4 linked regions of the Elephas maximus indicus genome follow. The protein of the gene in region 4 binds, or shares a complex with, the protein of the main gene of each other region. Links are inferred from orthologs where the notes say so. Each region holds a gene or a part of one and is shown on either strand. Other genes may lie near its edges.

What was found.
Region 1: RBBP4 (region 4) and MYBL1 share a complex: the UniProt entries of both Homo sapiens proteins name them as parts of the DREAM complex. The link is inferred for Elephas maximus indicus from reciprocal best matches to the Homo sapiens genes RBBP4 and MYBL1.
Region 2: RBBP4 (region 4) and CHD4 share a complex: the UniProt entries of both Homo sapiens proteins name them as parts of the nucleosome remodeling and deacetylase (NuRD) repressor complex. The link is inferred for Elephas maximus indicus from reciprocal best matches to the Homo sapiens genes RBBP4 and CHD4.
Region 3: the proteins of RBBP4 (region 4) and LIN9 are in contact, whole or in part, in a crystal structure (PDB 7N40), measured with the Homo sapiens proteins. The link is inferred for Elephas maximus indicus from reciprocal best matches to the Homo sapiens genes RBBP4 and LIN9. Residues at the interface, in NP_005601.1 of Homo sapiens: Ala11, Glu14, Arg15, Val16, Ile17, Asn18, Glu19, Glu20, Tyr21, Lys22, Ile23, Trp24, Lys25, Lys26, Asn27, Pro29, Phe30, Leu31, Tyr32, Asp33, Thr37, Ala39, Leu40, Glu41, Trp42, Pro43, Glu75, Pro87, Asn88, Asp89; in NP_001353174.1 of Homo sapiens: Phe107, Arg108, Asn111, Leu112, Lys114, Leu115, Lys117, Ala118, Lys120, Trp121, Ile123, Tyr124, Glu125, Trp126, Phe127, Tyr128, Leu135, Phe136, Asp139, Asn140, Asp141, Phe142, Cys143, Leu146, Arg156, Lys157, Leu158, Thr159, Arg160, Val161.

What each region holds. Positions count from the first base shown.
Region 1 is NC_064833.1:75,974,396-75,981,419, forward strand, and holds the start of MYBL1 (myb-related protein A), read left to right. Parts: upstream 1-4,009; 5' UTR 4,010-4,012; coding exon 4,013-4,110; intron 4,111-4,624; exon of another isoform or gene 4,625-4,934; coding exon of another isoform or gene 4,935-4,954; intron 4,955-7,024. UniProt on the Homo sapiens protein: Transcription factor that specifically recognizes the sequence 5'-YAAC[GT]G-3'.
Region 2 is NC_064822.1:63,380,736-63,388,207, forward strand, and holds the start of CHD4 (chromodomain-helicase-DNA-binding protein 4), read right to left. Parts: upstream 3,015-7,472; 5' UTR 2,872-3,014; intron 1,983-2,871; 5' UTR 1,905-1,982; coding exon 1,805-1,904; intron 1-1,804. UniProt on the Homo sapiens protein: ATP-dependent chromatin-remodeling factor that binds and distorts nucleosomal DNA. Acts as a component of the histone deacetylase NuRD complex which participates in the remodeling of chromatin.
Region 3 is NC_064842.1:15,977,164-15,984,750, reverse strand, and holds the start of LIN9 (protein lin-9 homolog), read left to right. Parts: upstream 1-4,586; 5' UTR 4,587-4,679; coding exon 4,680-4,758; intron 4,759-7,587. UniProt on the Homo sapiens protein: Acts as a tumor suppressor. Inhibits DNA synthesis. Its ability to inhibit oncogenic transformation is mediated through its association with RB1. Plays a role in the expression of genes required for the G1/S transition.
Region 4 is NC_064821.1:73,476,931-73,484,537, reverse strand, and holds the start of RBBP4 (histone-binding protein RBBP4), read right to left. Parts: upstream 3,002-7,607; 5' UTR 2,838-3,001; coding exon 2,822-2,837; intron 2,240-2,821; coding exon 2,092-2,239; intron 1-2,091. Other genes in the region: ZBTB8OS (protein archease), read left to right, coding at 3,948-4,083. UniProt on the Homo sapiens protein: Core histone-binding subunit that may target chromatin assembly factors, chromatin remodeling factors and histone deacetylases to their histone substrates in a manner that is regulated by nucleosomal DNA.

The sequences.
Region 1 (7,024 bases), on a different chromosome or scaffold from region 4:
ATTACCCCATGAATGAGGGATCCTCATGTATATTAGTGTAATAGGAAGGATTTAGGCACACAGCATAGGGGATCCCTCATTCTTAGATGAAAAGAAATACTGTTTAGTATTAATCTTATCACTCAGTTCAGTTTAACAAAGTTATTGAACACCTACTCAATTGACATTGGTACTATAGAGATAAATGAACTCATAGTCTGTTAGGTTAAGAGAATGAATAAGAGAAGAACAGATTATACTGAAATGTGATAAATGCATCAGCAGAGATATATTCCAGGAACAGAGGTAGAAGATAATGATTAATGGAATCTTTAGGGAGTGGTAGAGGGAGGATTTAGGGAGGTTTTCCAGAGAGGGTAACATCTGAGTTGGGTCTTGATGAGTAAACAGAAATTTTACAGACAAAGAAGAGCATACTTGACAGAGGATAAATATGTGCAAAAGCACAGAGGCATGGAAAGCATGATGTGTACAAAAAATTCAAGTATATTACATGAATTGACCAAGATCACATAGAAAGTTTCAGCTGTCCTGATTCTTGATCAGGTGTTTATTCTGTTGCATTATATAGTTGTAAACTCTTGTATAAGTATTTGAAGTTACTTGTTACTTTATCCTTTATGTTTGTTGTCAAAAGCAGTTCCAGGTGTAGCACCTCAACCCATTACCAGTAAAAATCATCATTCTGGCTTCTAAATTACTATCATATTTCTCAAATAAGTTAATTTTTATAGGTACAACTAGCTAAGAGATGGTTAACTTAGGAAAATAATAGCAGAGTCACATTTGAACCTAGATCTCTAAACTGAGACCCAGTACCAACTTAAAACAAAAATTGCACATGAAAATGCACTTAAAAATAAGGTGCAGGTAAATAAGTGACATACTCATAATTACTCTAATACCTGTAAAGTATTATGCCTTAGATTAACTAGAACCTCCTCCTCTCCTAAGCATCTTGAGTTCAGATCTTTCTACTAGGCTATCTCATTTCCAATTTTATATTCTAGTAATACTAAACCACTTTAGCCTTAGTTTCCTCATCTGTAAGATGGGAATTCTATTAGTAACATAGATGAGATAATGTATGTTCAATACTTAACATAGTGCAACTTAGTGTGTAGCTGCTTATCAGATAATAGTTTTTATGAGGCTGGGTGATAGGTGTAGGACCAAATCATCAAGTTACCTTATTGTCATATTAAGGACTTTATCCTGTAGGCAATGGGAAGCCAATGAAAGCTATGTTTTGTTTTAATATGACAGCTTAATATTGAGCTATAGTTCACATACCATACAGTTCACCCATTTCAAGTGTACAACTCAATGGTTTTTAGTATATTCACAGTTGTGCAACAATCACAATTAATTTTAGAACATTTTCATCACCCCCAAAAGAAACCCATAACCATTAGCAATCACTCCTATTTCCTCCCAACCCTTCCCCTCAGTTCTAGGTAACCACTACTCTGTTTGCTTTTAAAAGCTGGGCAGAAAAAAACAGATTTATGTTTTAAAAGATCCTTCAGGTGGCCGTATGGAGGATGTATTGGACTGGACAAAACTAGAGGCTGGAAAATCAGTTAAAAGACTTCCTGTAGCTGAGTGAGAGATGAGAGCTTGCACTGGCAGTAGGGATGGAGAGGAGAGGCTAATGGAAAGAGAATAAATAAAAAGGTGAATCCTGTTCTTACAAAGAGGTTGAATTTTGGGATTTTAGCTCTTGCAGGTGGAGAGAGATCTAGTTCAGGAGGGAGGTTGGGGCTGGAAGTAAAGATCTGCTGAATCCTGTGCTTACAGGATATGATTGAAACCACAGGAGTGGGTGAGATTCCTTAGGACAGTGTGAAGTGAGAACAGAGCTAAAAACTGAATACTGAATACTGGGGAATGCCAACCTTGAAGGAGCAGGCAGAGCTGGGGGCTTGCAAAGTGGTTTGAGGGATGTATAGAATGGACATCATGGAGGTGATGTCACAGAAACTGAGATGAAGTTTCAATTAAAAGGCAGTAATCGAGTCAAATGCAGTAGAAAGGGCAGGTAAGATGAGGATTTATTTCTTCAAGTGTCCATTGGATTTAACAGGGTTTTTTTTTTTTTGCTTCTATTCAGTTATTAACATAAAATGTCTTTCAAAGGCTATGTACATCCTTATGACTTTTGCTTGATATTGCTTTCCAAAAGGATTATATCAGTTTTCAGTAACACCCCCACCGAGAAATTATTAAAATCTTTTTCGCATGGTTTAGAACAATTTAGTATTTACAAAGTGTTATTTCAAATCTATTTTAATTTTTTTTTTGCCAACTTGTGACCATGAATATTTAAGTGCTTGCTTATTTTTGCCCTTTTTCATTCATTCATTCTACAGATACAGTATTTTATTGAGCAAAATCTTGCTGTGTCACTATTCCAGGGGCTGTGTGGATCTAGCAGGGAATAAAACAGACAAAAAAAAAAAAAAAATCCCCGTATGAGAATGGTTGATACAACTCTATTAAAAGCACAATCTTTTAGGCACTTTTCAGACTAGTATAAGCAAACTTTTTGAGTATCTGGCCTTTGACTGGGGGAGGATGAGAAGAGGGACAGCTGTCTGAAAGATGACCATGGTGCATTTTTCTTGGGAAGCAATTTACTTAGAGATGTGGAGTATGAAAGTGAATTAGTAAAGCAGTTTTTAATGTTTTTATAATAAAAACATGAATATATTTATCATGGAATAGAATGCAAAATTTTACATGAGTTTTTAAAGATAGATTTCAAAGAAGTTTTCAACACTTGCTCCCAGACACTTCCTCCCCCTCCTGCTCCCCTTAGTATTCAATCCTCTCTACCTTGAGGGCAGGTACTTCACTGGACAAACTTGAGAAGCATTAACTATCCAAAACCAGCCTGGTTTATGATAGAGTATGTAAATTCAAATGACTTACCACTTTAGTTCCACACTTTGTCTTTAGTTTTATGACTAATTTATTTTGCCATGTTCTATCTTCCCGAGGAAAATTTTTTTCCTGCCTGTAAAATGAGAGGGATTTATTTTACTGTCAAAATTTCAAACGCCTGCCTTCAAGTTCTAAAAATTTATTTTGTGTAAAACTGACTATATCCTAAAATACGGCAGAAGCTCTGCTGTTAGAATATAAATGACGGAGTAGTGTATGACTAGGAATAAATAAGAAAACACTGACTCCAAATGACATTGCTTTCTAAATTAGGTGTTTTTGTTTTGTTTTTTAAAGTGGACCACCAACACAGGAATGATTTACAAGAAAAGCTTCTTTACCTTCCCAGAACCCCTACCTTGAGAAAAAGGAACTATAAGAAGGCAGGTGTTTTGACAGTAACTTGCATGCAAGCTCCTCTTAATTCACATTTGCACCTGCATCTCCGATTTGCAAAAGATGACGCGTGAAATGTCAAAATAGCAAAATGCCAGTTAATGTTACAATATTAATATGTGGTTCAGTGCTCTATGCAGTAGAGCATGTTGCCTTGCAAATTTGGATCCTTGGCCATTTCTGATCGTTAATATAGTTAATCTACTTGATTTGAGCAATTCGTAGCTACTGAACTTGGAACCTCTGCTAGAAGTTTCTCTAATGCAGCTCCTTTCCCTCTGTCTCTTGCGGAAGGACGGTCACTTGTTGACTACCGTACTCATCAGGCAAAGCTACTCTGAATCTGGGCGAGATTCCCAGCGCACTGCTGTCTCCCTGCATGTTCCTCCCGGTCTAGGGCTCCTCCACGATGCACACCGAATAACTCCTGTACAGCGGGGTTGGAGATTAAGCACTTTAAAGACCAGCCGCAGATGAATTACTTCCCTTTCCCGTTCTAAACACGTTTCCTGATGAAAACCTTTTTTCACCTGTCCCACTCCTGCCATGTTGGGGGGAAAAAATAGGTGAAATTCGGTTTCCTGCCACAATCTTCGCCACTCCCGTAACTATGATGTCTGGGCAAAGACAGCTTAAATGTTTGCTTAAAAAATAACGGCCGCGTAGGTTTATGGTCAGATTCATCTCAAGTCTGAAGACTTCACCTCCTATTGAGCTGGGATACACCCAAGGAGGGAAGAACGGAGACGGAGAAGCGGCTGCAAAGAGGTACACCGGCCCACCCGCGGGGCCGCCCGCCCGGGCAGTTGGCGGCGGCTGGGGCTGACGCGCCCCGGCTTCCGACTCAGCCCTCGGCGAGCGCAGGAACTCGCTTTCCCAGCGGGCCGCGCGCGGCCCTCGAGGGCCCGCCCCCTCGCGTTGCTGCGCTGGGCGCGCTCCGGTTCCTGTCACAGCGCGGCCCGCGCGCCCCTCGCGGCCCCACCCCCAGCTCCCGGCTCCTGCCCCGACTCCCGCGAGTTCCAGTCCCAGTTTCCAGCTCCCCTCCCCGCCCTCAGTCGCGCGCGCTCTCCCCGCCCCACCCTTCCCCCTCCCCCCGGCTGCGGCCGCCACAGCCAATGAGGTTCGGGGCCGCGTGCGCAGATTCAAACGGCGGCTCTTGAGGGAGGCTGGGCGCGAGATTCGGCGGTGCGGACAAAACCCTGCAGGAGGCTGCGAGCCCTGCAGAGCTGCTCGCTGCGGGGCGGGGCGGGGCGGGGGTCGTCGCCCTCTGCGGAGCCGCGCTGGGACTACAGCGAGGAGGCTGAAGGGCGGCGGAGGGACAGGCAGAGGGCGAGAGCGCGCCTCCTGATATGTCGGGGCATCCCTGACCGGGCAGGGCTGGGCTAGGAGCGGGGCTGCGGGTCCGGGCGGGTCGCGGTCCGCCCTTCTGTCCCTCCGTCCTGCCCTGCGGGGACGTGCGTTCCGCGCTCGGCAGCTCCGGGGAGGGTGCGAGGGAAGTTAGCGGGAAGGTCGGGGAGAAGGAGCATTCGCCTGAGGCTGGAGGAGGCTGAACTGCGTCTCCGCCCAGCCCGCGCCTATGCGGTACTTGAAGGATGGCGAAGAGGTCGCGCAGGTGGGTGACATCCCCTTTGCCCAGGCCTGGCGGCGCCATCTGGCTTAGATTCCCTCTCCCGTCCCCCCGTCCCTCCCCGGGCTCTCCCCAGCCGGGGTAGAGTTTGCCTGCCCGTTGCCCCACAGCCGCTGCGGCCCCTCTGTGGGGAGGCCCCCGCGGCGTGTGGAGAGTTGGGGACCACTGTGATTAAAACACAGAAATGGAGTAACAGCTGCCCAGGTTGCTCCTTTGAGCTGATCCTCCCCGCAGCGCGCGTCCAGCCCCCTAACTGCTCAGAGCCATTTCTCGGTGGGAAAGGGTTTCTGGCCAGGTAAGTCTGCGCGCTTTCAGGGGACAGCTACGCAGATACAAACGGCAGTGTCCTGCCTGGAGGACTGGAACACGGGGCTCAGAGGGACTCTCTTTTCTGAATCACTGTACCCGTTAACTAGGAACTTCTTGATAAACCTGGGCGGGGACCCCACTCTCAACTTGGCTACCTTGAAAGGTATGGAAAATTCTCCGAGGAATAGCTGAAGAGAAAGTACCTTTCTCCTGTTTTCTGTAATCATTCGTACCCATGCTCTCAGCTTATGTATATTTTAAAATATTTTCTACTGGGAGGATGTCACATCGTTACTATCAGTAGCTTGTGCTTAAAATAAAACAATGTATTTCACTCACGTAATATTTTGAGTGTCCGTGTTTGGTTCTGACTGTACCTATGTGTTGCACAGAGATAGGGCACATTTTTTTTGTTGTTGGAAAATGCTAGGATAAATTTATACATCTAATTTTTATCTGTGTATGACTATAGTAAACAAAAACAAAAGCCAATTACTATAGCAGCTACTTCTAAATTGTGTGGAGTAACCACTTAAATGATGGAAACAGAAGAACCCTGGGTGTTTTTTAATTTGCAGTATCATGTAAACCTGAAAAGATGTTTGGCATAATTTCACAATGTTTTTATTTATCTAGATCCACAGCCTTCTTAACTAGAGATGTGTTTCTTCAGCCGAAATTTATCACTTGGATTCATTTACTGAAGATTCTTAAAAACTCAAAATTGGAAGTAACTACACATATTGTGCTTTATTCATTTGTTAAGCACCAAGTATGCACAAGGAGCCCTGGTGGTGCATGGTTAAGAGCTCGTTTGCTAACCAAAAGGCTGGCAGTTCAAATCCATGAGCTGCTCCTTGGAAGCCCAACTCTGTGTTACTCCAACCTACAGGGTCTGGATATGAGTCGGAATCGACTTGATGGCAGTGGGTTTGGTTTAGGTTCTAGTATGCACAAAATATTTTGCAGAAATCAACATAAACTGTAAACTAAGTCCTTGTTTATTATTTTGTAGCAACTACAGTATAGGGCAGACCCTTGAGCTGGAACAAATGTATACACACACATACACATGAAAAACCCACTTATCCAGAGCAGGATTTTCAGCCTTACTGCTATTGACATTTTGGATGAAATGACTCTTTGTCCTCGGGGGCTGTTCTCCGCATTGTAAGATTCTTAACAGCATCCCTGGCCTCTACTCAGTAAATAAATGCCAGTAACAAAAAATGTCTCCAAGACATTGCCAAATGACCCTTGAGGAACAAAATCACCTCTGGTTTAGAATCCACTGTTCTAGAACTTCAAGGACCCAGTTAACCTCTTGATCTTCAGAAAAGAGATTTTAAAAGGTCCTGTAATGATGATTACTGAAGTACTGGTTTAGGCCTTTTCATTTGAACTTTTAAATACAAACAATTCGTAAATAAAGTAACTTCATTAAGCAGGGTGACAAGTGAAAATTTATGTCAACTCAAAAGTTTTTATCTTCAGTGTGTGGCATTATCTACCTATTAGTATTGTTGTTGATTTTTCTTGGCTAATGCTGTTCCCAGCACTTAAAGTTATGGTTAGACACGGATGTTTGAATGTCAGAACCCTCTCCTCCCTAACCGGTTCTCTGTCCATTTTATAATCACATATGTTGTTTTCTGTTACTGACAATTCTGTGAGCTTTGAAACCTAAACATATATTGCACTGTTGATTTTAATTCTTTGTCAGCTACATATATTAAAACATAGAGT
Region 2 (7,472 bases), on a different chromosome or scaffold from region 4:
CACCGGCCTGGATCTTACCAGGAAGAATCACTTTCTTAAAGGCTTCTCCCCAGCAATCCCCATGTCACCCCTCCAGTCAGCCACAGTTCCATTCTTTCCCTTTGCCACCTGCGTAAACGCAGGAAGTGAAGACAGGGCAAATCCATAAAAGCAAAGGAGACACCTTTCCATGTACATACGACCCCCAAACTTTTCAGGCAGATAATGAGCTGACGTGGCAAATAGCAAACTGGCTAAGATATAGAGGCAGATTTGGGAAAGGGGCAGGAATTGGGTGTGGCAAGTGGAAAAACTGGGTCATGCTACAGCTTGGGGCAGAGTTCACCCAGGGAGTCTGCACATCTCCCAGTCAACACGGGTCAGCCCCACACCAAGGGGCCACTGGGAGGCCAAAATGTGGAACCAACAATAGCTCAACAGCACTAACTCTCATGCCCCTCACAGAAAGGACAAGATCATCTACCACCATCACCAACTCACAACCCTCCTTGGGCAATAGCGCAGAAATCTGCCACCCTACCCTACACAGTGATGAGACTCAAGCCTAAGTTTTCTATCCCAACAGCTGAAGACTCAGTAACATGAGAAGAGGACACCAAGACTGACTCCTCTCCTAAGTGGCCTCAGGTTAAAGAGAAGGCTTCCAACTTAGAAAATGCCAAATGTGGCAGCATCTCTCCCAGACCACCTCAACTTCCGGCTGGAGCTAAAAGAGGGAAGGCAGAAGTGAAAGACATTTGATGGGAAACAAAAGCAAGACCAGTTTGCTCCAGAATAAGGAGAAAAATATAAGCAGGAAAGATTTAAAAAATGGCACGTAGAAAAAACAAAGCTAGAAAAAAAAGATCAAGACAACAAATAGGTGACTTAACTAGGAGCTCTGAACAAGAAAAGACAGATGAGAGAGACATCTGCTTAGGAGCATGACATCAATCATCATTTGATGATAGACAAGGGCTACTCCAATCAGGCATGGTGGTTATAACCACACGAGTTTGGCCAGTCCAAGGAAGCACCTTAAAACACTGATAGCACAACCCTTAACACCTTCACAAATACTACATACCACTATCTCAAACCCCAGGCGACAGGCACAGAGTTCTGCCTCAGAGCTTCTGTGGAAAAAGCCAAGATTATGTCCACTCACCAGGGGAGGAGGAGTGCCCAGCATGTCACCTCCCTTCTTCAGCCTCTCCTAGTACAACCTTGAGGCTATTACATGCTCCTCTAGCCCCTATATCTCCACTCAAAACATTCCAGCAATCTGCCTGGCTAAAAGCACTCTAGATCCCGGCTGAGGAGCGCAATTCAAACTTCACACAGTTGAAACATAGAAAACCGGTAACTGATCAGAAGCTAAAAATAATCAGATAGCGTAAAAAGCTCTTTCCTTCCTTTCCGCAGTAGCAACTACAGTATTCTACTAACACAGATGCCTAGCCGGGGTCCTCAAACAGAATCCCTCGACACCCCATCCCAATAGCCTCCAGGAGTCCCAGCTACCCGCACTCCTCCAAGGACCCACATATGGTAATGCCTGCCAGTCAAGAGCGCTCCCTCATCTGGGAACTGAGGAGCATTCCTCCAGAACAGTGCGGCAAGCAGGCATCTCAGTCCAGGTGCCCAGAGGCACATGGCTTCCACCCGCCTCACACAAGAGCTCTGCAAAAGAGAACCACTCCCTTCGGATGCCCTCCACCTGAGACTGCAGAGAGAGACAAGAAACTCAACCCTGCCTTACCAGAATCACTAGGGAGGACCCAAATGCCTCCTTCCTGCCCTGGGTCCTGGGGGAAGATGTTACCTGGGTGGGGTGGGGGCAGGCTGTTGTTCAAAAGTGCATCCATATCCTCCTCCTCACTGCCCGCTGAGCAAGGGGACGGGGAGCCCAGGCCCGACGCCATCCCCTTCCGCTCTTGGCCAGGGAATTGGCCCAGCTGCTCCTGCCTGCGGCCTGGGGCCCTCTACACTGGCCCGAGTCACTGTGCGGGGGAGGGGGGAGAGAAAGAGAACAGTCAGTGACGCGCAGTCCCCCTCCCCCACACCCACCCGCTCTTTCCGCCCACCACTACCACCGGCCCCCCCCCCCCCCACCCAGCCACCCTAGCAGGGCACCCGAACCACTCGGGCTGAACTTAGTTCCACACTCTTCGGGGGCAGCCCGGAAGCCAGCTCCCCAACAGGAGCCCCTAGATGAGAAGGAGCGACACCCCTGAGGGCAGGCTGGTGCAGCCGTGGGGAGGACAGAAGCCGGCTGGACTGAGCAGGGTGTGACGGGGTGGGCGGTGGGGGGCGTCCGAGTGGCCGCGGCGCGGGGGGGGGGGGCGGTGGTAAGGGCAGGAGAGGAGGCGGGCGGTGAGGCGCTCGGGGACACAAGGTCACTTGGGGGTGGGGGGGCGCCTCCCTGCGCCCGGGGAGGGGCCAGTCCCCAGACAGGGCAGCTCTCCAAAGACTGTCCTCTGGGACAACTCAGGTTCTCCTCAAGAGCCGCGAGAACGAGGGGGCGTGGAGGTTCGGGCGCTCCGGGGGTCCAGGGGCAGGGACTAGGTGCAAGGGAGCCCCCATCGGGAAGGGGGCAGGGCCACGTGTCCCGGGGGGCAAGAGAGCAAAGGGCGAGGGGGCGGGCGCCGGGCATTGTGGGAGACTAAGCCCGGGGTAGGGGGCGCGGGGAGCAAGACTCAGGCCTGGTTAGGGTAGAGAAGGGAGGGTGCTGGGCACCCTGCAGGGAAGGGAGAAGAAGGATTGGCTCCTCCGGACAGAGGGCAGTTCGCGGGTCTGGGGACGCCTGAGGAAGGAGTGGGTGAAGGAACGACCCTCCGGGCTTGTCGAGCTGTGAGGGGCGTCTCTCAGGGAACCCCGCGCTCTCCTCACCCCGGAGCCTTCGCAGGTCGCGCAGAGGCTGGCCCGGTGTCACTCCCGCTCCGGCTCCTCCTCGCCGCGGCCGAAGGGGGGAAAATGGCTCCGGCTCCAGCGTCGCCTCTTAAAGGGCCCGAAACACCGGCCGGGAAATCCCACCGCACAGGCCCCGCCCCCCCGCGGACAGCCCATAATAACCTCAACCAACTCCAACCCCCCCTTCCACTACCTCCAGCCTCCTCCCTAGGTCTCCCGGGCAACCCCCGCCCCCTCGTCGCTCAGGCAACCATTGGCCACGCCCCTTCGAGCGCGCGCGCGTGTCACCCGGGCAACCGCCCACCTCCTGGCCATCCCATAATACACACGGACACCCCCCCACACACACACACACCCCTACACACACTCCATACACGTATATGTCAGAACTGCTGACATCCCATAATATTGCAGACCTTTGCCACTAACCCTTTGCAGCATCCCATAATAGCCATCCTTCTGCCAACTTCTTCACTCTTCGCCCTAATGCTCACATCCCATAATAATTCATCACCCCTCCCTTCCCATGGCCATCCCATAATAAGCACCCCACACAGCACACCAGCCTCACATCCCATAATACTCATCCCATCCCCCCAGACATCCCATAATAACCACTCTTCATCCACCCCCAGTTTGATATCCCATAATAGTCAGAAACTCATCCCCCCACTGCAACAACGGACACTTGGCCTCCTCCCACACACACCCCGTAATAATCAGTCTCCCACTTTCCATACTGACATCCTGTAATAACTAACCCCCTGGAGCTGCCCTCGGTCCCTGCAGGCTAGGGTCTAGATGCACACACCACCCCCAGGCTTCACATTTTCATTCTAGCTCCTCAGCCCATAAGGACCACCCCTTCCCTATCAAAAAGATAGCCTATAATAGACCAGCAGTCCTACTGCTACCCCACAGATGGACACCTAATCACCCTTTCCCTTAACCCTGGAAATATATCCCATAATAATTTTACTTCCCCACCCACACCCTGACATCCCTTAATAATTGCAAGGGAGCCATGGTCAACCGGACATCATAATACTCTCAGCACAACCCAGGGTCACATCCCATATCGCTTCATCTCCACCCCACCACCCTTATATAGTACTGTTCCAGCCAGGCATCCCATGATATTCATATACCTCCCCATCTCCAAATGCTGTAAGCCTAATCTATTAACACCCAGAGCAGGCAGGGCAGGCAGGCTACCCACACTGCCTTGTCCCCGCCCCCACTCATACACAGCTTCAACCCTTTCTGGGCCACCCACACTGCCTTGTCCCCGCCCCCACTCATACACAGCTTCAACCCTTTCTGGGCCAAAGCAAGTACCCTGGCATAAAGCCTCTTAACCTGTAAGACCGTAGCTTCCATCATCCCATAATTTCCAGACACTCAGGAGTTGAGAGCTAACCTAGGGCCCCACCCAATCACACTAAATCCAGGAGTTCTCCAGATGTTCATCTCCTGCCATTAAGTTTTGAGTAACCCGAACCCATTGCAGTCTAGTACATTCCAACTCATAGTTTTGAGTAAGACCAACCAAATACCATGCCGGCCAGATGAACAATTTATATGAAGTTTAATTCACCCCAGAGCATCCCATAATAATCACAAATTTCCATCCAAAGACTACTTCTCACCATTCCAGCAGTCCTCTCCCCCATCGCCTAGCCTCCAGCTCAGGGACCATTCTTCAACACCCCTGGGCCACTCCCATAGATGGGCATCCCATTCTGATGTGAACTGAGAGCCCTTCAGTATATATATACACAAAGAGCCAGGACCTGATCTCCCTCTACTTACTATTCACTACTACTCACATTCATTCAGCAGATGTTGACAGAGTACCTAGCAAGGCACAGAGCTAGGCAACATGGGGAATGCAAAGACCATGGTGCCTCCCTTAAAGAAGCATATGCAACTAAACAAACTGTGATAGAAAATAGAAATGTCTGGTGCCAAGGGAGAACAACTGAATGCTATTTCCTAATTTCCTGTTACAGAGAATAAAGCAAAGCCCAACTGGTTTCAGGACAGATCATATCCTAGTAGAGGTTTTTGGTGGTCCTTCTAGAGGTATTTTAAAATACCTAGATATTCTAAAAGGGTTTACAGTATAGACGGATGGTCAAGATTATCTAACCCCTACGTACTAAGGGACTTTGATAGGAAGGCAATGTTCATTCACTCAGCATTCCTAATAATGAAATCCTATAATTTTATCATGTGCTTCCTTCTTGAGAGGCTCATCAACAGGCCAGAATCATTATCCTCATTCTTCAACATTAAAATTCCTGCTTACCCTCAATGTCATTTTTTAACTCCTTGCTCATTTTATATCTCGAAGTCTCATAACACAATTGCCCAAATCTCCATCTTATTGAGGCCCCATTCTCCACCAAAAAAACACCATAGTTGCATGATGTTCACTATTTGCCCCTTCCCACATACAATTTCTACATACCTACTGACAGGACTAACTAACAGGATGCCTTCCTAATTCAATTATGCCACAAGGTAAAAAAAAAAAACATTGCCACCGCCGGGAGTCTAACTCATAGCGACCCTATAGGACAGAGTAGAAGTGTCCCATGGGGTTTCCAAGGAGCAACTGGTGGATTCAAACTGCTGACCTTTTGGTTAGCAGCCAAGCTCTTAACCACTGTGCCACCAGGCTCCCAATATATATTATCCTTTTTCCCTAACCATGCCTACCTTCCAGCCACCCTGGGGACCCAGTCCTAAGAAAGCCAGGAGATCCCAATCTTAAAGCCCTTTGGTCCTCAGAGAATCTGAGCCCACAAGCCTGTCACTTTTCCCTCTTCCTGGCCCCCGGAGAAGCAGGACCTGAGTGAGAACAATATTCCAGCATCACTGCTTCACTGTCTCTCTTCCTCAAGCCAGAGATGATGTCTACTTCTGCTTCCATCTGCCTTTTTCACACAGGGCAAGACATATGGAGGTGGGGCAGGGTGAAGAGAAACAGGAACTCCCTCCTAAGAGGGGCCCTTCCTTACCTCACTCCATATCTTCATTGTCCTAAGGTCATTTCCCTAGAGAAAGGGCCCGACCAGATGGTTCTCCCCTCCTCTGGGAACTAAAGGACTGGGAGAAGTGGCAAGGAGAAATGAATTCAGGTGCAGAGAGAGCTTGTTTCTCCAGGAATTTACAATCCCAGGCAGAGCACCAGTGATGCTAAGTCTTTCCACCAGCTGCTGCCTAATGGTATAATCACTAGCATTCTATGTTTAACTCTTTTCTCATTTTAGGACTGAAGTTTTCAACATCAAAGACCTCAGGTCTTGCCAAGGACTCTCACGGCTACCTTTGCATTTCATATATTCTTTTTCCAATATTTGCTCCAATTCTCTGGACCACCTTTTTGCCACACTCATGTGGCGTGATGGCCATTTTCCCCACTCTGCTAGGCTGTCTGTAGTTTTCCTCATTACATTTTCTTTACTTCAGGATTAAGCCCCATTCATTTGTCCAAACCCTCCCCTGTGCTTATTCCAAGTACTGAGAATGAACTTTGCATTGCTCCCAGAGGGGAGAGGGGCAGCTCTTTTAAGATGCCATAATGTGAGCACACCTCCCTTCAAGTTTTCTCCTTCGTACACAGAGTGGCCAAATACCTATTATGCCCTCCTTATCCACATTTCCCTAGGGGATTCAGCCTGTCTCTGGGCCTCAAATTCCTTTCTGTAATATCTCCATCTGCCCCACGCTTTTTTCCTCTCATACATATATACCACATTACCACAGTGATTCGTAATATAAATCAGTAAGCAACTTTTACAACTGAGTACGCACAGCCTATTGTCCGTGATTAAAAATACTGGTGCCCTTTGCCCACCACAATCCCTCTTTCCCTAATCCTGCAGCTTCTACCCACTTATTCCCTTTCTTCCCTATCTTTTCACATCTTTCTGATACCACTAGGAGAAAGTTTAAATTCTTTCCTCTCTTCTTGAGTTCCAACAAGGGCTACAACATGTGTACTTATGTGTTGCTCTTGTGGTCTTTATGCCCCTCCCTCCCTACCCAGGTCCCATGCTACCTGTCTAGATAAATTATAAATAAACCACTAGTGTGATTGGCCCACAGAGACCACTGTGGGATAATCTCCTGATTAATGCACCCAGGGGGACAGCCTCTCTAGTCGGTTACCTTAGAGTTCTGTTTCCACCCCGTGGTACAGAAGAACCTAGAATAACACTCAGAGTGAGTTGTCCGTTAAGTTTTCAGCGTACGCTCTCTATTTCCTCTCCCTACACCTCTAGTCTGTGTGAAACCAAGAAACTCTGCTCAGGTCTAAGGTACTCTGCTGCTCCATCAGGAAAGGCAGTTTGGAAAAACAGCGTAGGGGAAAAGAAGCCACAGTGACAGTGCACTCTGACGGCAAGACAGAATGCAGGTTGTGTGGACTTGAAGGGTGGCAGGTGAGGCATTAGTCCTTCAGGAGCCAACCCATGTCTCTGTTCCTTGGGTCTGACTGCACACAAAAATAAAGTTTCCCATGTGCAACCCTCCTATGTGAGCCATGGTCCCAAGGCTCAAACCCAGGAAGG
Region 3 (7,587 bases), on a different chromosome or scaffold from region 4:
CCGATGGTACTCCCTCACCCTCACATCCAGTGAACTGCCAAGCCTAACTTTTTCACACCTCTTGAGGTTGATCAAATGTGCAATCAGGATGCACTGATAATTACTAGTGATTGGAATGCAAAAGCTGGAAACAAAGAAGAAAGATCAGTTGTTGGAAAATATGGTCTTGTGATAGAAATGATGTTGGAGATAGCATGATTGAATTTTGCAAGACCAACAACTTCTTCATCGCAAATACCTTTTTTCACCAGCATAAACAGTGACTATACAATGGACCTCGCCAGATGGAATACATGGGAATCAAATCAACTGTATCTGTGGAAAGAGATGATGGAAAAGCTCAATATCATCAGTGAGGACAAGGCCAGGGGCTGACTGCAGATCAGACCATCAACTACTCATATGCAAGTTCAAGTTGCAACTGAAGAAAATTACAACAAGTCCACAAAAGCCAAAGTACAAACTTGAGTATATCCCACCTGAATTTAGAGACCATCTCCAGAATGGATTTGATGCACTGAACACTAATGACCGAAGACCAGAGAAGTTGAGGAATGACATCAAGGACATCATACATGAAGAAGGCAAGAGGTCATTAAAAAGACAGGAGAGAAACAAAAGACCTAAATGGATGTCAGAAACTCTGAAACTTGCTCTTGGACATTGAATAGCTAATGCAAAATGAAAAAATGATGAAATAAAAGAGCTGAATAGAAGATTTAAAAGGGTGGCTCGAGAAGACAAAGTAAAGTATTATGATAACATGGGCAAAGACCTGGTGTCTTAGTCATCTAGTGCTGCCATAACAGAAATACCACAAGTGGATGGCTTTAACAAAGAGAAATTTGTTTTCTCACGGTAAAGTAGGCTAAAAGTCCAAATTCAAGGAATCAGCTCCAGGGAAAGGATTTCTTTGTCAGCTCTGGAAGAAGGTCCTTGTCCTCAATCCTCCCATGGTTGAGGAGCTTCTCAAGCACAGGGACCCCAGGTCCAAAGGTGGTGCTCTGCTCCTGGTGCTGCTTTCTTGGTGGTACGAGGTCCCCCACTCTCTGCTTGCTTCCCTTTCCTTTTATCTCTTGAGAGGGAAAAGGTGGTGCACGCCACACCCCAGGGAAACTCCCTTTACACTGATCAGGGAGGTGACCCCTGATCAATCCCACTCTAATTGCATTAACATAAAATTACAATCACAAAATGGAGGACAACCTCACAATACTGGGAATCATGGCCTAACCAAGTTGACACATATTTTTTGGGGGACACAACTTAATCCATGACACCTGGAGATAGAAAACCAAAAGGGAACACGTTCAGCATTTCTCAAGCTGAAAGAACTGAAGAAAAAGTTCAAGCCTTGAGTTGTAATACTGAAGGATTCTATAGGGAAAATATTAAATGACACAGGAAGCATCAAAAGAAGATGGAAGGAATACACAGAGTCACCATGTCAAAAAGAACTGGTCAACATTCAACCACTTCAGGAGGTACCACAGGAGCAGGAACCAATGGTACTGAAGAAAGAAGTCTAAGCTTAAGGCATTGGCGAAAAACAAGGCTCCAGGAATTGACAGAATACCACTTGAGATGCTTCAACAAACGGATGCAGCAATGGAAGTACTCACTTGGCTATGCCAAGAAATTTGGAAGACAGCTACCTGGTCCACTGACTGGAAGAGATTCATATTTATGTCTATTCCCAAGAAAGGTGAGCCAAACAAATGTGGAAATTATTAAACAGTATCATTAACATCATAACAAAACAAGTAAGTAAAATTTTGCTAAAGGTCATTCGAAAGCAGCTGCAGCAGTATATCGACAGGGAACTGCCAGAAATTCAAGCAGGATTCGAAAGAGGACGTGGAACCAGGGATATCATTGCTGATGTCAGATATCCGGATCCTGGCTGAAAGCAGAGAATACCAGAAGGATGTTAACCTATGTTTTATTAACTACGCTAAGGCATTAGACTGTGCAGATCATAGCAAATTATGGATAACATTGCAGAGAATGGGAGTTCCAGAACACTTAATTGTGCTCACGAGCAATCTGTACACAGATCAAGAGGTAGTCATTTGAACAGAACAAGGGCATACTGCATGGTTTAAAGTCAGGAAAGGTGTGTGTCAGCATTGTATCCTTTCACCATACCTATTCAATCCGTATGCTGAGCAAATAATCTGAGAAGCTGGACTACAGGAAGAAGAACAGGACATCAGGATTGGAGGAAGACTTATTAACAACCTGGAATAGGCAGATGACACAACCTTGTTTGCTGAAAGTGAAGAGGACTTGAAGTACTTACTGATGAAGATCAAAGACCACAGCCTTCAGTATGGATTACACCTCAACATAAAGAAAACAAAAATCCTCACAGCTGGACCAATAAGCAGTATCATGATAAATGGAGAAAAGATGGAGGTTGTCAAGGATTTCATTTTACTTGGATCCACAAGCAACACCCATGTAAGCAGCTGTCAAGAAATCAAAACAGGCATTGGGCAGATCTGCTGCAAAAGACCTCTTCATGTGTTGAAAAGGAAGAGGTCACCTTGAGGACTAAGGTGCACCTGACCCAAGCCATAGTGTTTTCAATTGCCTCATATGCATGAGAAAGCTGGACAATGAATAAAGAAGACTGAAGAACTGAGGACTTTGTGGTGTTAGAGAAAGAATACTGAATACACCATGGACTGCCAAAAGAACGAACAAATCTGTCTCGGAAGAAGAGCCAGAATGCTTCTTAGAAGCAAGGATGGCAGGACTACCTATCACATACTTTGCATATGTTATCAGGAGGGACTAGTCCCCAGAGAAGAACAACATGCTTGGCAGAGGGTCAGCGAAAAAGAGGAAGACCCTCAATGAGATTGATTGACACCGCGGCTGCAACAATGGGTTCAAGCATAGGAACAATTGCAAGGGTGGCGCAGCACCGGGCAGGATTTTGTTCTGTTGTGCATAGGGTAGCTATGAGTGGAAACCGACTCAAGGGCACTTAATGGCAACAATTTGAGAGGTGGAAGCTTCCTGTTCCTCCATCTCTGTTGATACTTCCTATTCAGTAGTAGCGGTAGCAGCAGCAGTAGCTAACGTTTGAGTCAAAACGAGTGCTACGTACTATTATAAAGGCTTTACATCTATGAAATCATTTAACCCTCACAACAACCCTGTTATTATCTGCATTTCACAGATGAGAAACTGAAGCATGGAGAACTAAATTAAGAAACTTGGTTCCAGATTACACAGCTAGCAGCCGGAATACCAACCCAGGCCTTCCAAACCTGTGCAGCCACTAGTACAGACATCTCTCTCCTCTCCTGTGCCTGCCCCAACAGGCTTCCTCCTGACTGGTTTCTAGGACTCTCATCTTGTCCCCTGCCAATCCATGTTCCATATTTTTGTTCTAAAACACAAATGGAACCATGCTACCAAAGACTTCTCTGCGTGCCTCCAGTGCTCTTGGCAAGTCCAACTCCTTAGCCTGGGCTGGCATTTGTGTACGATTCGGTCCTCATCTTGGTCTACCATTTTTTATTTCCTGGAATTCATCCATCCTGTATTTTCACTGTTTGTCTCCCTTCCTCCCCCACAACCTCCTTCCTCCAGAAGTTCCTGGAAAGGACTGGAGCTCGGTAACATTTAAGCGAATTGTTGAAAAGCAGCGGTGGTTTATCACTGGACAGTTTTACAGACAGGAATTGTGAAATCATTCTCTGGGCTTCTTTGAAAACGGTGAATCCTCATCCAGGAGTCTCTCCAAGTTTTGATCAGGGTACTCCATCACCTTGTAGTATCACTATTGGTTTCTGTCTGTATCCTCAGGAAACCTGTTATTCATGTTATTCGTGTTGTAACTCTCTCCCAGCTCGCTGTATGAGCCAGGGCAGAATGGATGAAGGCGCTGAGCAGAACGATTCGTAGGGGCCGGCCTAAACGATTAACTTCATGACCTCTCAAGGTCTCTCTCCTAGGCTCCGTGCAGCGCAGGTTCCAACAGTCGGGAGGAGGTCCCCGGCTCGAAGGGGGCCGCAGGGATCCCGAATTCTGGGCGGACACTGCGAGGCAGCTGCGGCCTGAGTGCACGAACCACTCCTCCGTAAAAAAGAGTGGATGAAGGCGCAGGAGAAATGTGGGTTTTGGGAACTCTGAAAAATACACTCCGAGTGGAGCCCCTCGGGCAACGTGACCGAGAACCAAGGGCTTCTCTGGCCACGCCAGGCCCACAGGTGCCTCCTCCCGGCCCCCGCCTCAGCCTGCCGGGGCCTCCCTCCCACCTTCCCTTGCTTTCCCCTCCTTGGAACACACAGCTTGCAGTTCCCGCGGCTGCAGCGCGAGACAAGAAACGCGCGCCGGGAGCGAGCCCCGGAGGGGGCGGGCGGCGCGGGCCAGGAGTGGGGCCCGGGCGGGACTCGGGAGCTCGCGCTGCTCCCCCCGCGCTCCGGCGCCGGGCCCGGGCAGGGGAGGTGCGCGACGGGCCTCTCCGCGCCATCTCCCTCCTCCCGCCCTCCGGCCCGGCCCGGGGCGCAGGCGGAGGGGCGAGGCGCGGCCCCACCTCCCGGGGCAGGCGCGGGCGGAGCCCGGCCCACCTCAGCCCGCCGCGGCGGGAGCAGCGCGGAGCGGCGCCGAGGGCAGCGAGCTCGCATTCGAACCTCCCTCGCAAAGACAGTCTCCGCCCCACAATGCACCGCGGCGGGCAGCCTTTGAAAAAGCGGCGCGGCTCGTTCAAGATGGCGGAGCTCGACCAGTTGCCTGACGAGAGTGAGTAGCACCTCAAAACACCCCCCCTTCTTCCTCCCGGCCGCCCGCCCCGAAGCTTTCCGGCCAGGAGGGGCCGCCGTGCCCTCCGCCGGAGGGGGGACTGACTGCCAGCCCCACCGTAGTCCTCCTAGTCCCTCCACTCCGGTGTTGCCGCCGTGTCGCCGCCTTTGTTATGGTGTCTGTGTGTAGGTTTCTGGGGTTGTGTGAGCGCCAGGGCCGGAAACCGAAAGCTCAGGAGTCCAGCCTATGCCGGGAGGAGGCGGCGGCTGCTCCCCTGGCCGGACTCGGGCCACCCGGCCGAGGTGGAGGAAGAGCGGCCCCGGTGCGCGGGGGCTGCCCTCGCCGCCTGCACCAGTCACCGGGCGCGGAGAGACGCCTGCCGGGGTTATGTAACTCGCCTGTCCCGGGGCCGGGGAGGGTTCGCGCTCGGGAGGGGGTGGTCACAACCCCGGCTTCTTGCCTCAGCCTCTGATCTTGTCCCGTCTTAGTTCCTGCCTCTATGGGCACTTGTGATCGTCCCTGTCCCTCCTCCCCACCGGTGTGTCCACCTCTAGAAGTGTTTCCGTGTCAAGAGGCTAGCCCCTTCCCCTGGGACCACAGGTGGCTGTGGACCCTTCCAGAGGTAATCCAGACTGGATACACAAGCATTCAGGTAGCCTCCATCCCACAGACTTTCCTCTGTGTGTGTGTGTGTGTGTCCTTAAGAGTCATGGGAGTACCTTGTACACAGGGATGTGACCAACACAGCATACATATAGTACTCTTCCTGACACCCGCCCCTGTGCAGGGCTCACTAACCATGACTACTCTGCCATCCATGGGATCTCTGCAACATACCAGCTCACATGTGTTTACTAAGTAAAAGCACCAACTCCATAGTTCAAAGCACAGTGGAACTTCATTTTGTAATTTTAAAAATCGCACAAGTTATGTAAAAAGGCAAGTATTTTAGCAAAGTACAAAAAAGGTCCTGAGTCCACACTCATTATTCAGTTTATGTGTATGTATCATTCGTCAGAGTTTTAGTATAATAAAAAGAAGGCTCAATCACTGTAAAATCATTTGTGAAAAAGGCAAATAGGCTTAAAATGAGAGCTATATACAGCCAATTCTGTTTTCTTTATGGGGTTGTATATCCTTAATGCGCTATAAAGTAAATAAAAAGCTCAAGTTGTAGTGAAAAGTTGTATTAAAAAGAGTTTGTGTTTTTAATTTGCTCTAGATCAGCGCTAAGTTCCAATAGAACTTTCTCAGTGATGGAAATGTTCTATTCTGTGATGTTCAATAGGGTAGCCACTAGTGACATGTGGTTATGGAGTACTTGAAATGTGGCTAGAGGGACTGAGGAGCTGAATTTTAAATTGTTTAATTAAGCTTAAATAGTCACATGTGGATAGTAGCTCTAGCCTGTTTGTGAGTTTTGTTTCTTGATTGGAGAATACAGTTCATTGTGACTTAGGATGCTACCAAGTAAGAATGGGCCTACTAAGCACAACCTAGTTCTTATCTGGAAAAAGTTTTTTTTTTTTTTTCTTTCCATCCTCATCATCTTTACTGTAAAGATGACTTACCCCTTTTAGAATTTTTCTTTTTTTGGTAGTCATTCTGTTGAATAAGAGGTATTGTAAGTGGCTTTCAGTATACCTCTCATTTGGAATATTTTGCTTCATCTACATCATCAAATATTTATTGAGGACTTCCTATTGTTCTTTGAAGGAACCTGGGAGTCATGTCGTTGTTAGGTGCCATCTAGTTGACTAGTTGATTTTGACTCATTGCGACCCCATGTGACAGAGTAGAACTGCCTCATAGAGTTTTCTAGGCTGCAATCTTTATGGGAACAGATTGCAGCTCCACTCTCAAGCTGTATGACCTGATCATTTTTATTAGTTTGTGACATCTCTGGTATATTGTGTGTATGTGTTGTATAACTTGTTGAAAGCAGGGATTGCCTTACCTGGTTTGTCACACTGCCCTGAATCAAGTATACAGAAGCACCTCATTTATATGAAGAGGCATTATTAATGAAACCGGGCAGGGTCTTGAGAAAGAAAAGAGATTTCGGTTTGATACTGGAAATAACAAGTTTCTTTGCCAAGTTTAGGCAAGGCGACTAATAAAAAATATATTAGCTTAAAAAAAAAAACCATTGCCCCTGAGTTCATTCCAATTCATAGGGACCCTACTGGACAGAGTAGAACTGCCTCCTAGGGTTTCCAAGGAGCGCCTGGTGCATTTGAACTGCCGACCTTTTGGTTAGCAGCCGTAGCTCATAACCACTACACCACCAGGTATTAGCTAATAACCAACATAAAATTACCAACAATAAATGCTGCCATTGAGTACTTGCTGGGTACCGACACTATGCAAAGCATTTTACATATATTTGTTTAACCTTATTTCACTTGAGGTAAGTACTTTTTTAAGAGTTTGATTTTCTGTATGAGGGAACTGAGGCTATCTTCAGCCCAGATCTTTCCTCTAAGCTCTTGCACTTAACATCTGTTACCTATTTCACATCTTCTCTTAGATGCCTCAAAGGCCCCTCAAACTTCACAGGTTCAAAATATAACTCATAACCCCACTCCAGGACAGAGATAATTTTAGTGGTTTCTCTCTTAATGAAAGCTCTTTTATTTATCTGGTAGAGGTCATCTTTGGCACTTCCCCCTTTCACTTCCCATATTTAAGCCTTTACTGTAACTTTTACCTTTTAAATGTCTCTCAAATCTACCTACTTTTCACCATCAGCCTAGCCCAAATTGTCACCATCTCATCTGATCACTTCAGCCTTCAATTAATCCAACTCTTCCAGGCACCGTGCACACC
Region 4 (7,607 bases):
AGAAAAAAGACAGGGAATTTGGACCAATGTCAAACACTGCAGAAAGTTTATCAAAGCAGAAAGCTACTCAGTTGATAGTGCAGAGATTTCAGCCTTGGGGAATTTGCCTAACTGAGTGCATTCCAACCCTGGCTAATCACTACATTATTTGGGAAGCTTTTTAAAAATATGGGTTCCGGAATGATTTAGTAGGTCTGGGGTGGCTACCATTTGGGACCCACTGGTCCAAACATACCTAATTTAGAATGTGATAGTCAATCTGGAATCACTATTCAGCTATTTTTCAAGCGCTCTGAAATGTCTTTCTGTCACAAATTCTTACATGATTTTAACTATCACTGAGAACTCCTTACAGAAAGGACTCCACTTACTCCTGAACTCCCCAGGTAATTTTGACAATCAGCTGAATATGGGAACTCTTGGTCACTATAACGAAGAGCGCAACTCTAAATTTCTAGATGTTTATTACAGTTTTATGTAACTTTTTTTTTAAATGCCCTTGTGAAGGTAACTGTCTCATTCTTAAGTTATTAATAAAATTTACATGTTGAATTTCCACTAGCTGAGCTGACTCCTAGTCTAATAATCACTTGGCACGTATCTTGATTTCTAAAGATCTGAGGTTTTAAAGTAGTTTTGTTACTAAATATACAATATAATTTTGAATGTTATTCTGAAAACTGAATCAGTTTTATAACAAAGTAAGAAACGTGAACTTCTAAGTCATAGTGAAACAGTGATGACACTTGTAACTTCTTTAAATGTGCCTCTGGAAGTGCTTATTGGGGAAATCCATTATTCCAACAAGCACACCGATTTTGCCGAAACTTTAGATATCTATTATCTAAATTCACTTTCATCTTTGGATTGACACTTCCTCTCGGAAGCCTGTCCTGACGCCCCAAAGGGAGATAATTTTTTCTTCCTCTTAAGATTTTATCTGTGCTACTTTTTTTTTTTTTTTACTACTTTTAGGGAAATTATAATTACTTTGTACTGTTCTATTTTATACACAAATTTATACCTAAATTTGTACCGATACCTGGCACATATTTGTTGTTAGGTGCTGTCGAGTCAGTTCCAACTCATATCGACCTTATAGGACAGGGTAGAACTGCCCCACAGGAGCTTCCAAGGAGCAGCTGGTGGATTTGAACTGCCAAACTTTTGGTTAGCAGCTGAGCTCTTCAGCACTATGTCACAAGGGACCCTCAATATATGTAACCTAAAGTAATAATATAATTTTCTCTATTCAAGGTAAAGGTCCCTGGGTGTCACAATTTGCTCTTGTTTACTAAACTAAAGATTGGTGGTTCAAACCCAACCATCAGTGCTGCACAAAAAAAGCCTGGATATATGCTTCTACAAAGGTTATGACTGAGAAAACTCTAAGGAACAGTTCTACTCTGTAACACATGGGGTTACCATGAGTCAGAATCCACTCCATGGCAACGGTTCCCGCCCCCCGCCCTAAGTATCCTAAGTAGCTCTCAATAACTGCTCTCATCACATATAAGGATTAGTTTCAGCCTGCCTCTTTGACTATACTATGTGCAACAATGGGCTCAAACATAACACCAATAATATGGATGGTGCAGGACCGGGCAGCGTTTCTTTCTATGGTACACTGGGTCGCTATGAGTTGGAACCAACTGGACTCGACAGCACCTAACAACAACACCTGCTTCCTGAAGGCAGGTACCGTGTCACGTTCCGTTTTGTATTAACCAACTAATACCAACGACTGTGAGAGTTCAAATGTTTTGTTTAAAGAACTGTACTCATCAAAATACTTTTGAAAGCTGACAAGTTTTATGTTGTTACTTGGTCAACTACAGTTGTTTAATATGCCTACTCAATTCATTATCAGAGAAAGACACTACCCAGGTATTTTCTCTTGTCATATAAATCGCAAAATATTTTTACATTTTGCCACACATTCTGGGCTAGAAAAAATGTTGCCAATAGGTTTTGCTCAAGTGCAGGTGGTTGGATAGTGGGAAATAAGGGGCGGGGTATCTATGGAAAACCTACACTGCGAACACACAAAAAGAGATTCAGAAATTAAGTGTATTAAGAGATTTACATCACCTGGTTACATCTGGAAGCCACTGTGCAGTTAGGCTGGGCCACTCCAGAGCATGGGTCATCACCAAATCATAAAGAAAAGGGGTGTTCTTTTTCCATATTTTGTACTCCTCGTTGATGACACGTTCTTCCACGGCATCATCAAAGGCTGCTAAAAAAGAAAAAATAAATGAACTTAGCAAACGAACGGAAACCGATCACACCCGGTACCACTAACAGCACGGCTCCTGGGTTCTCATTTTGAAATGGAGATTAAGTTTGTCCAAATCCTTCCTAGGCAGAGGCACCAATTCCCCTCTCAGCCTTCGTAGGGCAGGAACTACTCTCGGTTCACTGCCATCAGACACTCCGTTACCCGTTCCGTGCGCTGGGCCTTCGGGGCACGCTCCCGTCCGCCACTAGTCTACAGGACCGGCGAGGAGGCCCGAACACCAACCCCTGGGGGTAGGGAGCGTTGCCGAGAGGCCGACAAAAGGCGGCATAGGAGGACAGGGAGCGCGGGGAGGCCGCCGGGCTGCTAGGGGAGGGATGAAACACCCTGCGGCGACCGGCACCCCCTCTGGAGGTCCTGGCGCGCCGTTAGCCCGCCCCGCGGGGACATTTCTCCTCAGGCCTTCGACGCTGGTAACCGCACTCAGCAAAGTCGGGCCTGTCCTCACTGTTAGGCCGTGTCGAGGCCGCAGCAGAGCCGCAGCTCCCCTTGGCCCTTCTAGGACGGCCCCGACACCCTCACCTTCCTTGTCGGCCATGGCGGGCAGGCGAGCCGGGAGGGAGCCGGGAGTCGAGAGTTGCGGGAGGGGCGGGGAGGCTGCGGGCGCTCGCTCCGCGCGCGCGGCCTCTATTGTTTCCTGCTGCCCCTGCGTGAGGCCCGACTCGCGCACCTTCGCGCCAACATCGGCCAATCCGGGCGCACCGAGCGGCGGAGTAGGCGGGAGAGCCGCGCTCGTAGCCTATCCAGACGCGCAGAGTTGCTTTTCGCCGGACCGAGGCGCGCGCTCCGCCCCCTCCCCCACACGGCTCAGAGCCGACTTCCTTCGTTTGCGCGCGCGCGCGGGGCCTGGCGGGAGTGCGCACGCCCGAGGTCACGTGAGAAGGGTTGAGCCTTTATACTCCTGGGGGCCGCCATTTTCTTAAAGGCTGTTAATCTCAGGATCCTCTCAAAGCACAGTACTCAGATAAGAAATCTAGAATGTTGTTGGGTTTAGTTATCAATTCTGGAGGCAATGGAGAGAAAAGGCCCCTACCGTTCAGGGCTTAAAAAAAAAAAGTTGCCCTCGAGTCGATTCCAACTCATAGCGACCCTATAAGACAGAGTGGAACTGCCCCATAGGGTCTCCAAGGAGCGACTGGTGGATTCAAACTGCCTATCTTTTGGTTAGCAGGGAGCTCTTAACCACTGAACCATCACGGCCCATTCAGTGCCAAAGCCAAAAAAAACCCACTGCTGTGGAGTGGAGTCATACTCATAGTGACCGTAAAGGACAGAGTAGAACTGCCCCATATGGTTTCCAAGGAGCACCTGGCGGATTCAAACTGCCGATCTTTTGCTTAGCAGCCATAGCTCTTAACCAGTACACCACCCCACCAAGGTTTCCCATTCAGGGCCATAGGCCGTAACTCAGGTGTCCCTACTCCCAGGTCCTTCAACTTGCTTGTTGCTAAGAACTATTGATGAAGTAAGGTCAGAAAATGGGGTCTTGGCCCTTTAAAGGTGCACTCCAGGCGGAGGGGCCTAGGACGGAAGGCTTCGGAGCTAATATTTGTACGCCAGCTCCGAAATTGGAGTCTTGGCCCTTTAAAGGAGTGTGCCAGGGAGCAGAGTCAGAGCGGAAGTTGTAACCAGATCCGAAGTCCAGCAGATGAAGGGCGGAAGTAGGGTGCCCAACGTTGTAATCATGGCGCAAGACGGGGGACAAGATGTAAGAGACTACAATTTGACTGAGGAGCAGAAGGCAGTCAAGGCCAAGTATCCTCCAGTCAATCAGAAGTACGAGTGTGAGTAGATGGCTCTCTTTTCAGATAAGGGCACGGGACATCTCTCCTTACTGTATCCAGTCTCGCCTACCATCCCGCCCTATAAGGTGTTTCAGGGATGATCCCATTCCTCCCTGCTGTAGACGCTTTTGGACTTGTCCAGGTGATGCTGAATGAAAGAGCCACCTGGTCTGAGAGTTGAGAAACGTACGCGTTGCCGTCGAGTCGATTCCGACTCATAGACTTAAGCTCCCACATTTACAGTCTTCAACTTCTTTCACGTACGGCTAATCACCTTTTTCTTGTGTGAATTTTATTAGCATATTAACTCTAAAAATAATCGTATTTTTAAGCGTTTCCAAGGGTGTCGCTCCTATGTATATCCAACAGCTGGATAGTTAGATTGTCGTTAGGAGAGAGGACTCGGCAAGCCAAATAGGCCACTTCACTGCGTTGGAACTTGGTATTTTACATGGATCGTGATGTTAGTAAATAAGAGCTGGTTTTGCCATTTAGGCAAATCACATAACTTTGCATTTCAGATTCTTCATCTGAGGATTCAGTGAAATAATATTCAATGTAAAAGTAGAGTGCAGACTTTTGAGTTCTACATAAACGTTGAGCTGTCATACCTAAGCTGTATGTAGTTTGAGGAGCACAAATCTGACTCTTATTTCCCTGCTTAACATCCTTCATTGATTTCCCATTGTCTCTATAAAGTCTGTTTACCATAGCGTGCAAGTCTCTGTACTTCTGGACCCTGCATATCTCTATGCATTTCTTTCTCACTTAAAAACCGTTTTAAAATTTTATTTTTAATGGGCGATATGTGATTCGAAATTCAAAAGGTGTAACAGGTATTCCGTGAAAAATTAAGTCCTTCAGCCCTGATCACCATCCATTACTCCTCCTCTCTAAATCAGGCATTGATACCATTTTCTTATGTGTACACGCAAAGATGTTCTACCACCTGCTTTGTTTAACCAGTTTCCGGTTGATGGACGTTTAGGATGTTTCTTCTCTTTTGCTGTTACAGACAGTGCAGCAGGGAGTATACTTGTATATCCATCGTTTTGCACACGTGCAAGTGTATGTGCAGAATAAATTTCTAAAGCTAAATTGCTTTGTCAAATTATATGTGCATTTCTTACTTTGGCAGTTATTGTCAAATTGCCCTCCATAGAGGTTGTATCAATTTTTGCTGTCACTAGCAGTGTAGGAGTGTGCGTCTTCCCTTACAACTTTTACCAGTTTTGTGTGTTACCCTACTTCTTGGAATTTTCAATTTTAGTATCTTGTCATAACAGTTGTATTTTTCTTATTACATATGAGTTGAGCATCTTATGGTATGTTTGGAGCCAATTGTATGTCCCCTTCTGGAAACTGTATATTCATATTCTTAACCTACTTTTCTATTGGGTTTTCGGTCTTTTTTATTATACAGAAATTTATTCTTATGTAGTCATTTTAACCGTTTCTTTTTATATGTAACCAACAATTCAATTAAGGTATAGAATATTTCCATCACCCCAGAAAGTTCCCTTGTTGTCATTTTTAACTTTGTTGGTAAATAAGCCACCTTGAGGCAAACACTGTTCCAGTTTCTATCATCATAGTTTAATTTTGGGTGTTTTAGAGTTTCATGTAAATGGAATTGTACAGTACGGACTATTTTATGTCTGGTTTCTTCACTCAGTGTAATGGTTTTGAGATTTATTTATTTTGTTGCTTTTTTGTTGCTGAGTAGTAGTCCATTGTATGATTATACCGCTGTTTATTCTCTTATTGATGGACGTTTGGGTTGTTTTTAACTTTCAGGAATAAAGTTTCTGTGATCCTTCTTGTGTCAGTGTTTTTGTGGACACATCTTTTCATTTATCTAGGGTTAATACCTATCATTTTCTTTCTTTTTACTTTTTAACTTGTTTGTGATCTCTGCTAGTCATTGAGCTCTCTTTGCCTAATAGTAAACTGAATACCAAACCCATTGCCATCAAGTCGATTCCAACTCATAGCGACCCTATAAGACAGAGTAGAACTGCCCTGTAGAGTTTCCAAGGAGTGGCTGGTGGATTTGAACCGCCAGCCTTTTGGTTAACAGCCAATCTCTTAACCACTATGCCTCCAGGGCTGCAATACTTAGTAAGTCCTCATGAAATATTTTTGAGTGGATTAGAGATGAATTTGAACCTTGATTGCCACCAGAAGACTATGTTAACAATAATAAAAAAATAATAATAATAGAGTTTGCAAAATGCACCAAATTAGGAATCGGAAAACCTCAATTCTAGTTAATCCACAGTGTGGTCCTGAACAAGTCACATAATCTCTCTGGATTTCAGATTTCTTCTTGTAAGTGAAGGAATTGTACTAAATGGTCTCCAAGGCTTGCTTCTAGCCTTAATATTCTATGACCCTAAGTGGGAAGAATGGTTGAAAGTTATGATATGGGTGAAGAATAGACTGAAAATATTGAGATAACAGATCCAGTGGGAACATGCTATGGTAGGATTTGTTACTTTCTAGTTTTGTTTTTTTTAAATTGTGTCATTTAGGGTGAAAGTTTACACAGCAAATTAGGTTCTCATTTAACAATTCCTAGACATTACTTAGTGATATTGGTTACGTCTTTCACAATGTGTCATCATTCTCATTCTTTCCTTTCTGGTTGTACCATTTCCAGCACTCTCGTCTCCCTGCCCCCTTACCGTCTCATCTTTGCTTTACAGTAATTTTTGACCATTTGGTCTTCTAAAGATGATTTTTTAAAGGAGCTCGTTACTCACAGGTGATATTCTTTATGAGCCAATCTGTTATTTAGCTAAAAGGTGACCTCAAGAGATAATTTTGGATTAAGGTTTAAGGAGTATCTCAGGGCGATAGTCTTGGGGAGCCCTCTACCCTTGATTGGTCCAGGAAGTCTGGACTTTTTAAGAATTCGAGTCCTGTTCCAAATTTTTCTTATTCTATCAGGATTTATCTATTGTGGCCCTGACCAGATGGCAGCCGGGCACCATCTAGTTCTTCTGGTCTCAGAGTAGATGAGGCCGTGGTTCATGTAGACTGTTAGTCCTGTACACTAGCTGAGTTTTTCATTTGCTTCCTTATATTACTTAATATGGCTCCTCTAGCCACAGTCTTTGTGACTCCCACATAAGGATTCGGTGGGATTATGCAAATAAATGGCTTGTGGCCTGTAAAAATAATGTGGTGGTGATGCTTGACTTCCTCTAACTTTACGAGGGAGAAAGAATCAAGATCAGCAGCCCAAGGCTGATTCTTATGAGGCAGAGGTCAGACATGTCTCCTGTCTCCACCATCCTTACCAGTTCTGATACCAACTGTCCCTCCCATGACACTCTCTACTTCTCTGCTAGGTTCAATAATTCATTGCAGTGGCCACAGAGAACTTGCAGACTATACTCACGATTACGGGGTTTATTAGGGAAGTAACAGGTTACAATTCAGGTTTAGGAATGCTCAGGATACAGTTTTTCCATCAGGACAGCCTCTTCCCAGTCATGCCCCAGGGATGTGTCTCTCCG